Arabidopsis thaliana: one gene and its partner. The protein of the gene in region 2 interacts with the protein of the main gene of each other region in a pairwise test. Each region holds a gene or a part of one and is shown on either strand. Other genes may lie near its edges.

Evidence for each region. The genes of interacting proteins can lie anywhere in the genome.
Region 1: the proteins of LD (region 2) and SUF4 interact in binary tests that used the Arabidopsis thaliana proteins (3 or more experiments, as listed by UniProt).

The regions. Positions count from the first base shown.
Region 1 is NC_003070.9:11,039,766-11,045,634, forward strand, and holds SUF4 (zinc finger (C2H2 type) family protein), read right to left. Parts: upstream 4,009-5,869; 5' UTR 3,829-4,008; coding exon 3,635-3,828; coding exon of another isoform or gene 3,631-3,634; intron 3,184-3,630; coding exon 3,083-3,183; intron 2,848-3,082; coding exon 2,718-2,847; intron 2,252-2,717; coding exon 1,842-2,251; intron 1,749-1,841; coding exon 1,606-1,748; intron 1,493-1,605; coding exon 1,295-1,492; 3' UTR 920-1,294; coding exon of another isoform or gene 848-919; 3' UTR 510-847; downstream 1-509. Other genes in the region: AT1G30960 (GTP-binding family protein), read right to left, coding at 1-212; AT1G30972 (Plant thionin family protein), read left to right, coding at 4,906-5,145. UniProt on the Arabidopsis thaliana protein: Sequence-specific DNA binding factor that recognizes the 5'-CCAAATTTTAAGTTT-3' sequence. Recruits the FRI-C complex to the FLC promoter. Required for FRI-mediated FLC activation, but has no effect on the expression of MAF1, MAF2, MAF3, MAF5, UFC and CO.
Region 2 is NC_003075.7:1,122,929-1,130,413, forward strand, and holds LD (Homeodomain-like superfamily protein), read right to left. Parts: upstream 5,563-7,485; 5' UTR 5,325-5,562; coding exon 5,160-5,324; intron 4,867-5,159; coding exon 4,839-4,866; intron 4,686-4,838; coding exon 4,555-4,685; intron 4,426-4,554; coding exon 4,058-4,425; intron 3,964-4,057; coding exon 3,870-3,963; intron 3,786-3,869; coding exon 3,692-3,785; intron 3,595-3,691; coding exon 3,465-3,594; intron 3,370-3,464; coding exon 3,336-3,369; intron 3,261-3,335; coding exon 3,217-3,260; intron 3,128-3,216; coding exon 3,039-3,127; intron 2,804-3,038; coding exon 2,207-2,803; intron 2,072-2,206; coding exon 1,557-2,071; intron 1,301-1,556; coding exon 728-1,300; 3' UTR 547-727; downstream 1-546. Other genes in the region: CUL1 (cullin 1), read left to right, coding at 6,387-6,517, 6,604-6,703, 6,878-7,063, 7,146-7,193, 7,283-7,485. UniProt on the Arabidopsis thaliana protein: Seems to play a role in the regulation of flowering time in the autonomous flowering pathway by repressing FLOWERING LOCUS C expression.

The DNA of each region.
Region 1 (5,869 bases), on a different chromosome or scaffold from region 2:
ACATTGGAATCGTCGATTGGGTATTGACTACTATCGAAAACAGAGTCGCTGCTTGATCCGTCTTCATTGATGGAAGTGGGTTCGTCTAGATTCGGCTGCGCTGAGTAAAATCGGCGGAGAAAGTTTTGTGCTTGATGGGGATTACGAGGTGTTGTCTTCGTCGTCGTTCGTGAGATGGAAATTAGTATACGTAGAGATCTAAAAGCTTTCATTTTTGTAACAATGGCGAAGTAGCGATCTCGGAGAAGTACAGATTTGAACGAAATGTAACAGAAGAGGCTTCCGAGGGTTTTAGAGGTTTTGATGTTTTGGGGAAGTGGTGACAAAGTAACTCAATATTACAGATAGGCCCCTCACTTTTTGACAAATCCAACGTAGTCCCTAACTTTGTATTCGATATAATTACTACTAGCAAAGTAGCAATACAACAAAAATTCATACTAATCGTATCAATTGGAGTTTGAATATACAGTTAATGGAAGGAATATTAGTCAATTTTGTTTTGGCAAAATATTGAACAACATGGTGCAAACATTTTGGGTGAATCTGTATAATATAATACTTTGATCAATTCAGAAGAAAAGGAGACAAAGTTCTTCCTCCAAGTCTCCAACGACCAAAAAAAAAAAGGACTAAACTTCTGAGAAAAAACATCTCTGAGATCCCTAAACAATGTAATGGTAAACTAACTCACCTGGCTAAAGAATACAACAGATGGAAAGTTAATAACTTAAAATCAGATCATAAATTCAGTATCTGAACAAAAGTGAGTGAAGACTTGTTGTTGTAACAAAGCCTTCATCCATATCGCCTTTTCTTTGACGCTGGTTTGGTTTGGTGCCAAATTCTAAAACGCCATCCGCCCAGCAAGCCTACTCTCTGAGATTCGTCTGTCTATCGCTGCATTTATCGAGTTCATCTGCAAACCAAAAGAAACAAACTTGGTGTTGAGTTAAGAAGTTGGATGCTTTATTTTGAAAGAGTTAAGTGCGTATTGTTTTGGTTCCCCAAGGCAGTGAGATTGTGCAAAGGTACCAAACTTTGCAGAGTTAAGAATATAAAAAGAGCTGACCTGGGTTTGAAACCAAACCTGTAGAGTATGATCTTGTGGAACCAATCACCACATTTTTAATACAATACAATAGACAGGAAATATAATGAAAAACAAACAGATACAAACGCTATGTTTCTCACTACCTACTATTGCAAGCTACAAATGATACCTTTCGAACATTGATTCAAAATGCTCAAGTTTCTTGCCTAAGTCCTTCTTATCATATTCTAAGGGAAGAAATTATAAACTGAATAATACGGTGGTACCTCTTAGCACAGAAACAATAGGATCTGGAACAGAAATGTATAAATAAAGCCTACCGAATGGGTTAGACTTGCAAAAGCAAACTCTTCTTAACTTTAAAAAGGGTAAATCAGAACTTACCTGGCTGGTTTCATCGTGCACTTTGTATTTTGGTAAGGACATTCTTCTTTCCTCCTGCAGATACAGACACATTGCGTCAGATTGGAAAACCAAATGGTTCATTACTCGAAACTTTTCCAATTGTAACCATTCCAACATGATGCATAAGAAATTAGGAATAAACTAACCATAGACATCGCTTCATCATCCCATACAAGATAGACCTCATTAGGCTGATTGCTAGGAGCTTTGTTTGCAATTACAGGAGGTGGACCAATTGAAGGACCGCTAGTGTTTGGGCCAGAGGCATAAGAATGAGCATTAGTCCCACCTACGGCAACAAAACATGAAAAAGATATTACAATTTGATACAAAACAGCTAAACCAAATGTAAGTCAATGATTCTACGAACTTGGGATTGAACCTGGAATAGAATTGTTAGGCGGATAAGCATCTGCTGATCCTAAAGCATCTGCATGAGATGGTTGCTGAGCCCCACCAACAGGCAGAGGAGCAGAAAATGGTGGAGCTTGAGAAGGAATGCTGTTATTCACAACAGGGAACAGAGGTTGAGGAACTGGCATTGCAGGTGATGATGTAGGAATTCCAGGAGGAGTTACTCCAGTGACTGGTGATGGTTGTATGGCAGGAGCTGAGGTTGGAGTTGGAGTCATCCCCATATTTTGAACAGGAAAAAGTGGTTGTGGTCGATACCCTAAATGGGCAGCTGGAGGTACAGAAAGAGCTGGATTTTGAGGATACCATTGTTGCGGACGAGGAGGTGGCATTTGCCATACAGGAGCAGGATGACGCATAGGAGGACCCGGATAATACCTGCTAACACGAAATATTTTATCATGGTCAATAGCCATACATATTACAATATCTAAGATCATGAACTATTTCAAAAAACTGTTTACTACAGGTGTTATTGTGGTCTTGAAGAGGAGCAAAAGAATGGTTCTAGGACAAAGTTCTATCCTGAAAAATCACGAGAACAAGCTAGGGAAACTAAGAACCTTATGGGTCATAGTTGGTTAAGTGCAACAATATCTTAGATAACGATCTATTTCAAAAAATGTTTACTACGGGTGTTATAGTGGTCTTATAGAAGAACAAAAGTAGAAAAGTTCTAGGACAGAGACAAACTAAAGAAACCAAGAACCTTTTGCATCAAGAGAACTAAAAGAAAAAAAGTTCCCCATCATTTAGCATGGATCGGATTTTTAAAAACAGAGACAACATCTAAGAATTCAACAAGTAACGGCCATAGAGAGAGTATAGTATAATTAGTACATACATTGGTCGTGCAGGTACAGCACCAGGTACTTGTTGAGGCGGATATACCATTCCATATGGTCTAGGAACTACACCACCAAGAGGGGCAGAAGGAATCTCAACTTTTGCAACTTTGGCTGGAGGCTCATCCTCTGCAGAAAACATGACTTCAGTTCAAAAGGTACCATATGAAACAAGCAAACATAACAATAATATATAATAACTTTGATAAGGCAAAAAGCCGCATGCAAAATCAAAACGAATTCATGACCACTAGATGCAATAGATCTACAACACTTGATGAAGAGACATACAAATTTATCGCCTTACTTCTCTAAATCAATTGCTCATAATCTAAACAGTACTCTCACTATCTCAAATGCATACCTTCTTCTCCATAATGAGCAGTCAAGACATGGGGTGGAATTCCTTGCATTCCATATATTTCAATATCAGTTGAATCTCGACCGTCTTTAGCATTAGGAACTCTGGTGTGAAAATTGTAGATAATTTCAAAGTTAGTAGTGTCATGGAATCAAATTCCAAATTCAACAGGCAAACACATTGAACAGTACCACAAATTCCAAGAAAAACCTATCAAGCAAAAGCAAAAGCAAAAGACTGTTTCTTTACAAAAATTGCAATCAGAAATTAGGGTTTATGACCAGACATATACAAATTAACCAAACCCATTCAAGAGATAATCCAAAAAAACGATTCAAATTCCAGCAAACATACACAATCAACCGATTCAAACCACAACACAACAGTCACAATTAGCGCAATCTAACAGAAATCAAACGACAATCACACACAACAAGAGCAAAAAAAAAATCAGAACTTGAACAAAGATCATAGAGGCAACAACCCTAATATTCCAAATCAACCTAACACAACAAAAAGAGCCATAGGGAAAGGGTAAAAAGAAAAGGCACATACTTTGTAACATTCTCTTTATGAACCTGAAGAACATGAATCACCATGCCACTAGCTGTAGAAAGCTTCTTATGACAGACATGACACTTAAAGTGCTTAGCTTTCTGATGCTGCACAAGAATCTTCTCATCATCAAACTCTCTATCGCAGTAATAACACCACACCTTCTCTGTAGCTCTCTTCTTCTTCTTACCCATCACTAAATCTTTCTCCTATTTGTTGATTTCAAGATTTGATCTCAAAATTGAAATCTCCAATCTCTCAAAAGTCTCGTTCTTTGTCTCCTTCCTCCGCTCGCTAGGGTTTCTAATTGGTACAAAGCGTTTTCTCGATTTCTTCTACGATCTTCAGATTCTCTGTTTTTTATTTATTTTTACTTTATCTAATGGTTACTATCTTGTATTTATAAGAAAAGGTACTTTCTTGTGTAATATTTCGTAAAGAACCCATAACTCTTGTTTAATTATATATTTTTCCAAAATGCTTAGTAAGTTATATAATGATACTATTAGTATTGGTTATGTTATCCGTTAGGATGGTCAAGTGGTCTAAGAGCAACCTCATTAGACAACTTTTTATAGATGTTTTTAGTATAAATAAATAATAAAATTAAAGACATTTCACTTTTGTTGTGTTTAAAGTGTCTCTACAGAAACACAAATCTCAAACTAAAAACATTCATAATTTTTTTATTATTATTATTTATAGTTTTATATTTAAAGACATCTACATATAAGTGACCAATGTGGATGCTCTAAGGCCTTAGACTCAAGTTTTGGTCCTCGTAAGAGGGTGTGGGTTCAAACCCCACTTCTGACATAATTTTTTATTCTTTCAAGAGTTAATTTTCTTTGTCCAATGAAATCTCAAATTAACTTAATCTCAAATTAACTTAAAATAAACTGTGAGAAAACAGAAGAAGATTAACCAACAAAGTAAGTAATCTCTCTTACAAAGAAACTTTGACCAGAAAAAAGGAATCCATGTAACAGATAAGAAGAAGAGACTATAAGAGCTAAGAATTACATAACTATTAGAAAAGATTATAAATAGAGAAAAAAACAGAAGAAGATTAACCAAAAAAGTAACTAGTCTCTATTACAAAGAAACTTTGACCAGGAAAAAAAAAGAAGAGCAATTCCTATAACAAATAAGAAGAAGAGACGATAAGAGCTAAGAATTAGATAACTATTAGAAAAGATTATAAATAGAGGATAGCTATTCATTATTTCTTAAGTACATGAAACACTTGCAACAACAAAAAAGTTAAAGATATGGGTGCTAAATGGAATTCAATGATTATAATGGTGTTTGTGGTGACAATGGTTATAGCAATGGAAAATGTCAATGGAGAGACGAAAGCTCAATGCCATGAAGATTGCATTCTAGGTTGTGCCACCACAGGAAGAATTCCGATCACGTGCCTTCAGAATTGTTACCGTCGATGTCCCGGCAAACCTCGTCGTACATTAGGTAACCATTTTTCAGAAGGTAAAAACAAACAAACAATCTAACAATTTTGGAAATATGTCAAAGAAAATCTATTTTAATGATTATTGAGATTTTTACTAACTATATAAAATATATTCCCCTTTGTATAAATAAATTTGAAGTAAGTTTGACTAGTGTAATAATAATAATAGATTAACAATGGAATGTTCAAATGATTGAACGGTATGCTAATGTTTCGAAAATGTGGTGAAAAATAAAATAGCAACATAACGTTTTGAAATAGTAAAATTTTGAGATATATTTCGGTAATAAAGTGTTTTAAATCTTAGAAACATCATTGTCACTGTTTAGGTATACATATAGTCCTGAAAATATTATTTTTTAAATTAAACTCAAGAGATTATTTGGAAAAACTAAAGGTTAAAATAATCGATGGTTCTAATTTGTATAGTGGAAGCGCAGAAATAGAAGAGACGATGAGTCATGAATCAGTGTTGGACTCTTGGGACTTTTAAACTAGCTCTTCTTCTACTTTTGTATCCTCCTTATGTAATATGATCATTGTAAATTTGTAACGCTATTAAATAAAATAAAATAAAATTTGTCCCATGTTATAAATTTCTCTTGACTGTAAACACGTCTCTGTTTAACAGTTTAAGACTCCTCTTAGATTCGAATCTCATATTTCATAATTTTGGAAGTGACATGTAGCGGCTTATTGATTTTCTTGATTCATATTTTTTATTTTAGTTATTTCAAAGTGTGATACCTTGTGGATAAAGCAAA
Region 2 (7,485 bases):
GATTTGGCTAATACAAGTTTGAACGACTTATGAACGATTTATGAAGAGCACTGTCTATCACCGTCTTAATTTAGAGACTGCTTACTTAGTTCGGTGACGAGTAATGTGGATTCAATAAACATTCACAGTTATGAAATTAGAAAAGACATAAATAATTTTTGACCTATCATTTAACAAAGAACAAATCATAAGAACGATAATTAAACGGCTGTTAACTCTGTATTTGCAAGTTGAGATTGTGGCCTTAAACTATATGCTGGGTTCTTTTAGTTATCAAAAGTAAACCCGGTTATCCATCCCAACCGGTTAAGATATCGGTTTAAACTGAGAGTACCAATAGGAACAGTATATAGTGTTCCCTTTGTAAACAAAAATTGTGTACGAATAAGAACAGTATCCACATTCTATCAATCTTCACAGAAATGGATATTGTATACCAAAATCTCCAATTACCGAAGCAGTCCAGTTTAGCCAGTGTTACTGTTACTAAATTGAATCAGATTTGGAATTAGTCGAATAATGATGAAGACAAGACTTGTTTTTGAAAAGCCTTGAAGCCAATTGAGACAGTAATAACTTTATCCATTCATTCTTTCTTTTAGTTTATTATCTCTGATGAATCTGTTGTGAGTTAAAAATGAAAATCTGTGTCTGAACAGAGTATAATGCTAATTCAACCATGACAAGCAAATATTGAGGACCAAAGAACCATAGTCTTATATATGGTTTAACGCCATCTTTTGTTTTGGTTCCAATATGGATGAGTAGAAGAATCATGTTTCCTTGATGCTTGTTGTTGTTGTCCCCTCATGTTAAGCTGGTTCCTACTTGGGCTATTATCAGGACTCCATGATTCATATCCTGGATTGCTACTCATGTACTGGCTATTCCCTTGGTATGAAGTAACTTGTGAAGCCGATGCAATCTCGTTTTCTTGATGTGAGTAGTAACTGTTCTGACTCTGCTGACTCCTCCATGAACTCGATGTACCTGTTCCCATTTGTCCTACTGGTTCCCTAACTGCATACGAGGTTGTTGAGATTGGTTGTTGTTGTTGTTGTTGAAAATGTAAATTGTGATGAAGTTTTGGTTGCATATATTGTTGCTGTTCTCTTTCTGTGTGAGCCAATGTGATCGAGTTACTGTATGCTGATGGAGCATGTCGTGGGATTGATTGTTCATTTGTTTGATGCCATTGCATTGAACCAACACGAAGCTGTGTACCCGATCTAGCAACTGCAGTACCAACTTGGTTTTGCCTTGAAAATGGATTCCGAATCCCTTCTTGTCCCCATCCACTCTGTAAAATTGGAACAATACACTTAACTCAGTAAGAGAATAAGAAACAGACATTAACATCTTCTAATGGGGGCATTGTACTCATCAGGTTAGATCTAACAGCTGGAATTCATAATCCAGTTTGGTGTTAGCTAGAGCCTGTTGTAGTTCTTTCCTTTTTTCTATATGTCGTGAGATTCAATTTGGCAACATGATCTATTAATAGGGTTTTGGATATGTCCGAGGAATTTGGGGTGAATAGGTTTCAAGTAACGCACCATTCCAGGATTAGTTGATGGAGTGGGAGATGGAAGGGAAACTTCGACCCTTTCTTCAACCTGTTTATTTGAGCTACTGCTTGAGTTTGGTGCACCAGTCTTAATCACATCAAGCAGTTTTACCATATCTTGGCCGGCTAAATTACTGGGTTTTCCCGAAGTTAGTGCATAAACAAGATCTGGGTTCTTAAGTAACGCAGCTAATAACTCGAGATCAGGTTCAGGACTGCTTAGAGATGAAGAGGTTGTGGCAGCACCAGCAGCAATTCTTCGTTCATCAAGTGAATCCTGTGGTTCCGTTAAACTTTCTTCTGGTGGCTGTTGAGATGGAATTTCAGGGGTCAAACTGTCATCATAGTCCATTTCCCTATCCCATGGTTCTTTAGGGTTCAACGGTATAGTTTGAAGAGACTGATATGTTGTTTCTCTTTCTCGCCGGTTTCTGTTTCTCTGAACATCAGCCTCCTTGCTATTACCACCAGCGGCTACTCTCCAGAGTTCGTCAAGTTCCATTCCTGAAGAAAACTAGGCATTAGAATGAGTCCTAACTAACCACCAAAATAGAAGTGAACCAAAGAAGACCCTAAAGAGTCACATTCAGCTTATTCAATAAGTGGCCAACGAGATATAAATCCAACGAATGATATTACCTGGTGGTACATGCCAATCAATCTGTTTTCTCTTGCAATTCTTGAGAATAGTTTGTGAACTCATTTTCATCATAACTCCCACCTTACTAGAAATGCTTTTAGGAGGTGTTGAAGGTTTTTTAATTTCATCAGCTTGTACCGGGACAATTACGGCCGAAGGTCCATTGACGGGCTGAAGAGCCGAAGGTCCATTGACAGGCTGAACAGCCAAAGGTCCATTGACGGGCTGAACAGCTGAAGGTCCATTGACGGGCTGAATAGTTGAAAATCCATTGACGGGCTGAACAGTCGAGAGTACAGGTGTGTCTTCAGTCTTAGCTTCATTGTTCTGAATAGGTGGAGAATCCTTGGCTGAATGAAGAGCCAAGGGCTTCTCAGGAGCAACGATTTTCGAATCACCAATGGCACTTGGTAAAGGATCCTTTTTACTGTTCTTGCTCTGCATATAAAGGGCACGCATCTTTGCTTTCTGAATATCATCAGCAGACATTGGGCGGCTTCGACCTGAAGTTCCTATTCTTACTGTCTGCGGACTCTTTCCAGCAGCTTTTTGGCCTGGTTGTTCCACCATCTGTACTTTCCTGCGTTCTTTGTTATCTGCTGAAAGCTAAGGAAACTAACTTTGAAGTGAAGGATTATCCTGAGCTAGGAAAAGGACTATAACATGATGTGGAATATTTGGTTGCTCTCTTGACATAGCAGGTTTCACATGTAAAATACCGACTAAATAACAGAAGTAGCCAACAAGTTCAATACGTTAACTTATCCAATGCATTGAGAAAATGTAAATCAACTGGTGCTTTTTAATAAAAGAGCTCAAACGAAAGGATACACGATGGATTTGAACCAAGCATGTGTTTCTTGGTGGAATCATCTGCAGAAGTAAGCAACAGTTTTGGACCCTGTGACGATTCAATCCTCCTGTACCAGAAGATAACTAGTAATTATGAAACCACCTAACTATCAAAAGGGAACCTGTTCTAGATGGAATTTAACAATCAAACTGATACCTGACATTCTCTGACTTTCCATTTGAGAGACTAAGAATATCTTCCTGTTACGACACGAAAAACGGTTTTAAGGAACTGATGCACGTAATAGAAATAAATTCATGTTTTGCACCACTTACAGGATTGCTACTATCACCCATGATTTCAGCAATACTGCATAACAAGACAGAAGTCTATGAGTAAAATGTCACTAAACAACAAAATGAGAGGTAAAATAAGTATTATTCGACACATAAACCAAAACTTGCCTCTGTTTCAGAAGCAATTGACTCTGCGAATCAATTTGCGAACTGTTACGATTTTGTTTCTTCATAGCTTGGATTTTCGCAAATAACTTGGTCCACCTTGATAACAAACCTTTTGCCCTGTTTGATATGTCTGATCTTCAAATCAGATGATGAAATCGAATAAATCACAACAAGAACTTTGGCATTGATGAAAGCTACGCAGCATTTAGGTTTTTCAGAAATTACACCTGATATCCTATAGAAACGAAGTCCATTAACGCTTTGTAATATGGCAGACATATTTTCAGGAGATGCTTTGTGGAGAGGTAAATGACAAAGAACCTGCGTGTTAAATGTCAATTATCCATAATAAAACAATCTGCATATTTTTACAGCCATCCAGCTGCAAGTAAATTAATCTCGTACCTTCAGGATAAGAAGTAAGACACTTGTTTGCTCTTCACTAGCAGCTTGACTTAACCATGTTGTAAGTATCAAAACCCCTCCTTTTGATAAAAACCTGTGGCACATATAGAAAATGACTGTCAAGACGGGAATATAATAACAATAAAATAAAATAAGACAGTGGGTGAAAGAGAACCCCCAACTAGTACCAGATCAGCACAGAAGCATCTTGTATCTGCATGATCCACTCCATTAGTTTCACCTGGCCTGAAAATGTTTCCTCTTTACGCAGCAGAGAAAATATATTCTCAACAAAGTATTTGTCTGAATCGCTGATGTCAGGTGGAATATCTTCAGGTGGAATAAGTGCCACTGTTTCACCTTCACCCCAGCTTATAGAACATGCCTCCGGATGTATAGAGTTCAAGGGAACGGGTTCAACATGATTTGTGGCATTGTTATTTTCCGGAACACCATCATCTTGTAAAGCATGCGTATTGGACATAACTACTTTCTCCCTTGAAAGCCTCACCTGTTTCCTCACTCTTGTCTTTTGAGTAACAAAAAATTCTCGAACCTGCCATTGAAGAAAATAATAAAGAGACAAACCAAAGTCTCATGAGTACCTCAACATGACAGATCTAAACTGACATGGAATTCTAAAAGCATGGCAAAAAAGAGTACATATCATGTAGAAGAACAATACCTGGGCGACTGTGATGCCAAATAAAGCACTTATCTCCCGAGATTCCCTCTTACTAATAGCATCTTTAATTGCGAAAACTGCTTGTAGATACTTAACAGCCTTAGGATTCAACAAGTCTCTTGGCCGCTTTCCTGAAATATTTACAAATTCATCAGATACTAGGCATCGAGCACGTAAAAGTTGGGTATGCCTTTAATGAACCTAGAGAGCAACAATGAATTGAAACATTCTCTGTGATATACGTAATTATGCCAAAAGATCTCACGAATCCTAAGATGACTCACCAATTTTAATGGACAAAGCACCAGCAGCCTGAAACAACAAAAAAATTAAACAGATTAATGTCTTTAACAGAGATGATTACTTGATCAGAGAAATGACATATAAACAGTTGAAGCATCACCATTACAGTTCACAGAAGAAACGGAGAGGTCGAGCTATATGAATTTATACCAAAAACACCTCTAATTTTTGCTAGACTCAATACCCTTCAAAGAATTTATTCCAAAATCCGAATGACCTGTCCCTCTCAGCTTTGCCCATATCACCATACCCCAATAAAACACGAACTTTAGATACCAAAAAACATAGAAACAATAACCCACCATTTCTTGCGCAAGGGGATTAACGCCGGTAAGTTTGCATTGCGCAACGACGACATCTTGGAGCTGATCGATCTGGCTATGAAAAAGCACCTTCTGCGAATCCAATAGCTCCATTAAAGACTCCACCGAGCTCCCGATTTCTATCTCCTCCTTGAACGCGTCCATGGCCGCCGACGGAAAACTCGAAGACCAATACGCAAACCGAATTCAAAATGTGCATCAGGGAATTAAACTGAAACGTAGGACTCAGTGATTCGAATGTGTTGAAACGATAAATTCAATGAACATGGTTACCTAATTTCGGATTGTCAAAAAGCCGATTCGGGTTAGGGTTTGAGTAAGGAAGGCAAAATAAAGGGGCATAAAAGTAAATAAGTTACTTTACAAAGAAAAATTATAAAACGCAGCGTCTTGATGTAGATCTCTGAAAAGGTAAGAAATTAAATTTGTTTAATATTATACTAATATATTAGTTGACATAAAATAAAAATAATTAAATCTATAAGACCTGAAAATAATAGAATAGAAGAGAACGAGTTTGTTTCCTGAGATATCTTTTCACCGCCCTTCTCATAGGTCTCGTCTCTCTTTCTCTCTATTTTACGCTTTTTTCCTGAACGATTCTTAGGGTTTTGATTCTCTCTCTCTCTCGCTTCTTTTTCGATCGCAGCAGCTCTCGCCGATCCTGTGTAATCGGGAATCGGTAATCGTCAGGGTCTGTTTGGGGTACGGCGACGCGATTTTCTGATTATTAGGGTTTAAGATCTCGAGGTATCACTATTTCTGTCGGATTCTCGCTTGTTTTGTTCCATACGACAGTTGATTTTTTTATCATTCTGTTGATTGTTCGTCTTTCTAGGTTTTTATTTGAATTTTTGTGGGATCGAGATTGTTAGGGTTACGTCGGAGTCTCTGGATTGCGTTTCTACTGTGTAATTTCGTGTTTATCTCATGGATTGATTGTTTCTCGAGTATATTCTGATGCTTATGTCCTCGTTTGCGCACAATCTGATAGTTTGGGTTTGATTTGGGTGATAATACTCGTTTCGCATTCGATAATGTGGGTGTTAACGTGTTATTATAACCTCTGAAGAATGATAAATATTGTTGACTCTCTCGCTTCAGTCATTTCATTGTGTTGCTTAATACTGCTGTTCTAAATTTTGGTTTTCTCCTTGTTCTTTGGTTAACTTAGGTTGAGGAGAGCTTGAAAAGTTGTTTGTCAACATGGAGCGCAAGACTATTGACTTGGAGCAAGGATGGGACTATATGCAGACTGGAATTACTAAGCTGAAACGGATTCTGGAAGGATTGAATGAGCCAGCATTTGACTCTGAGCAATATATGATGCTTTATACGTAGGTTTTATACTTGTTTATTACCTTATATAGCGGTTTGGCTGTTTGTCCTGATACTTATGATGGGGAATTTATTTGATTCTCAGGACTATCTACAACATGTGCACCCAGAAACCTCCTCATGATTACTCACAGCAGCTTTATGACAAGTATCGGGAAGCATTTGAGGAATATATTAACTCAACAGTGAGTCTGATTGATATTTAGTTTCTTTCTTATAAACTTCTCGTTTTTACTACCTCTGAATTTTAAGATGCCACTTTTGTGCATGGTTTCATATGTCAAGAAGTCCTGTCCCCTCTTGGTTTTAAGTTGATTCAAACGGTTTTGAATGTTTGCTCTCTTGTTGTCTGTGGTTAGGTTTTGCCTGCGTTGAGGGAGAAGCATGATGAGTTTATGCTGCGGGAGCTATTTAAAAGATGGTCAAACCATAAAGTAATGGTCAGATGGCTATCCCGCTTCTTCTACTACCTTGACCGTTACTTCATTGCTCGGAGATCACTTCCACCACTGAATGAAGTTGGCCTGACATGCTTCCGTGACCTGGTATGGCATTCATTCCTGTGGCTTTATAGCTTTCAGTTGTATTGAAATATTTTTAACTTTTCCTTGATTCTGTTCGCTTCAGGTTTATAATGAGCTACATTCTAAGGTCAAACAAGCTGTAATAGCTCTTGTAAGTATGGCGTCAATATTGTTGTGCAGTTACATCCAACTCTGGCTTTTGCCTGATTCAAGGTCTAACATGACCTGTTCTTCTGTCAGGTTGATAAAGAACGGGAGGGCGAGCAGATTGATAGGGCCCTGCTGAAAAACGTATTAGATATCTATGTAGAGATTGGAATGGGGCAGATGGAGAGGTATGAAGAAGATTTTGAAAGCTTCATGCTTCAAGATACTTCTTCGTATTATTCTCGCAAGGCATCAAGCTGGATTCAGGAAGATTCTTGCCCTGATTACATGTTGAA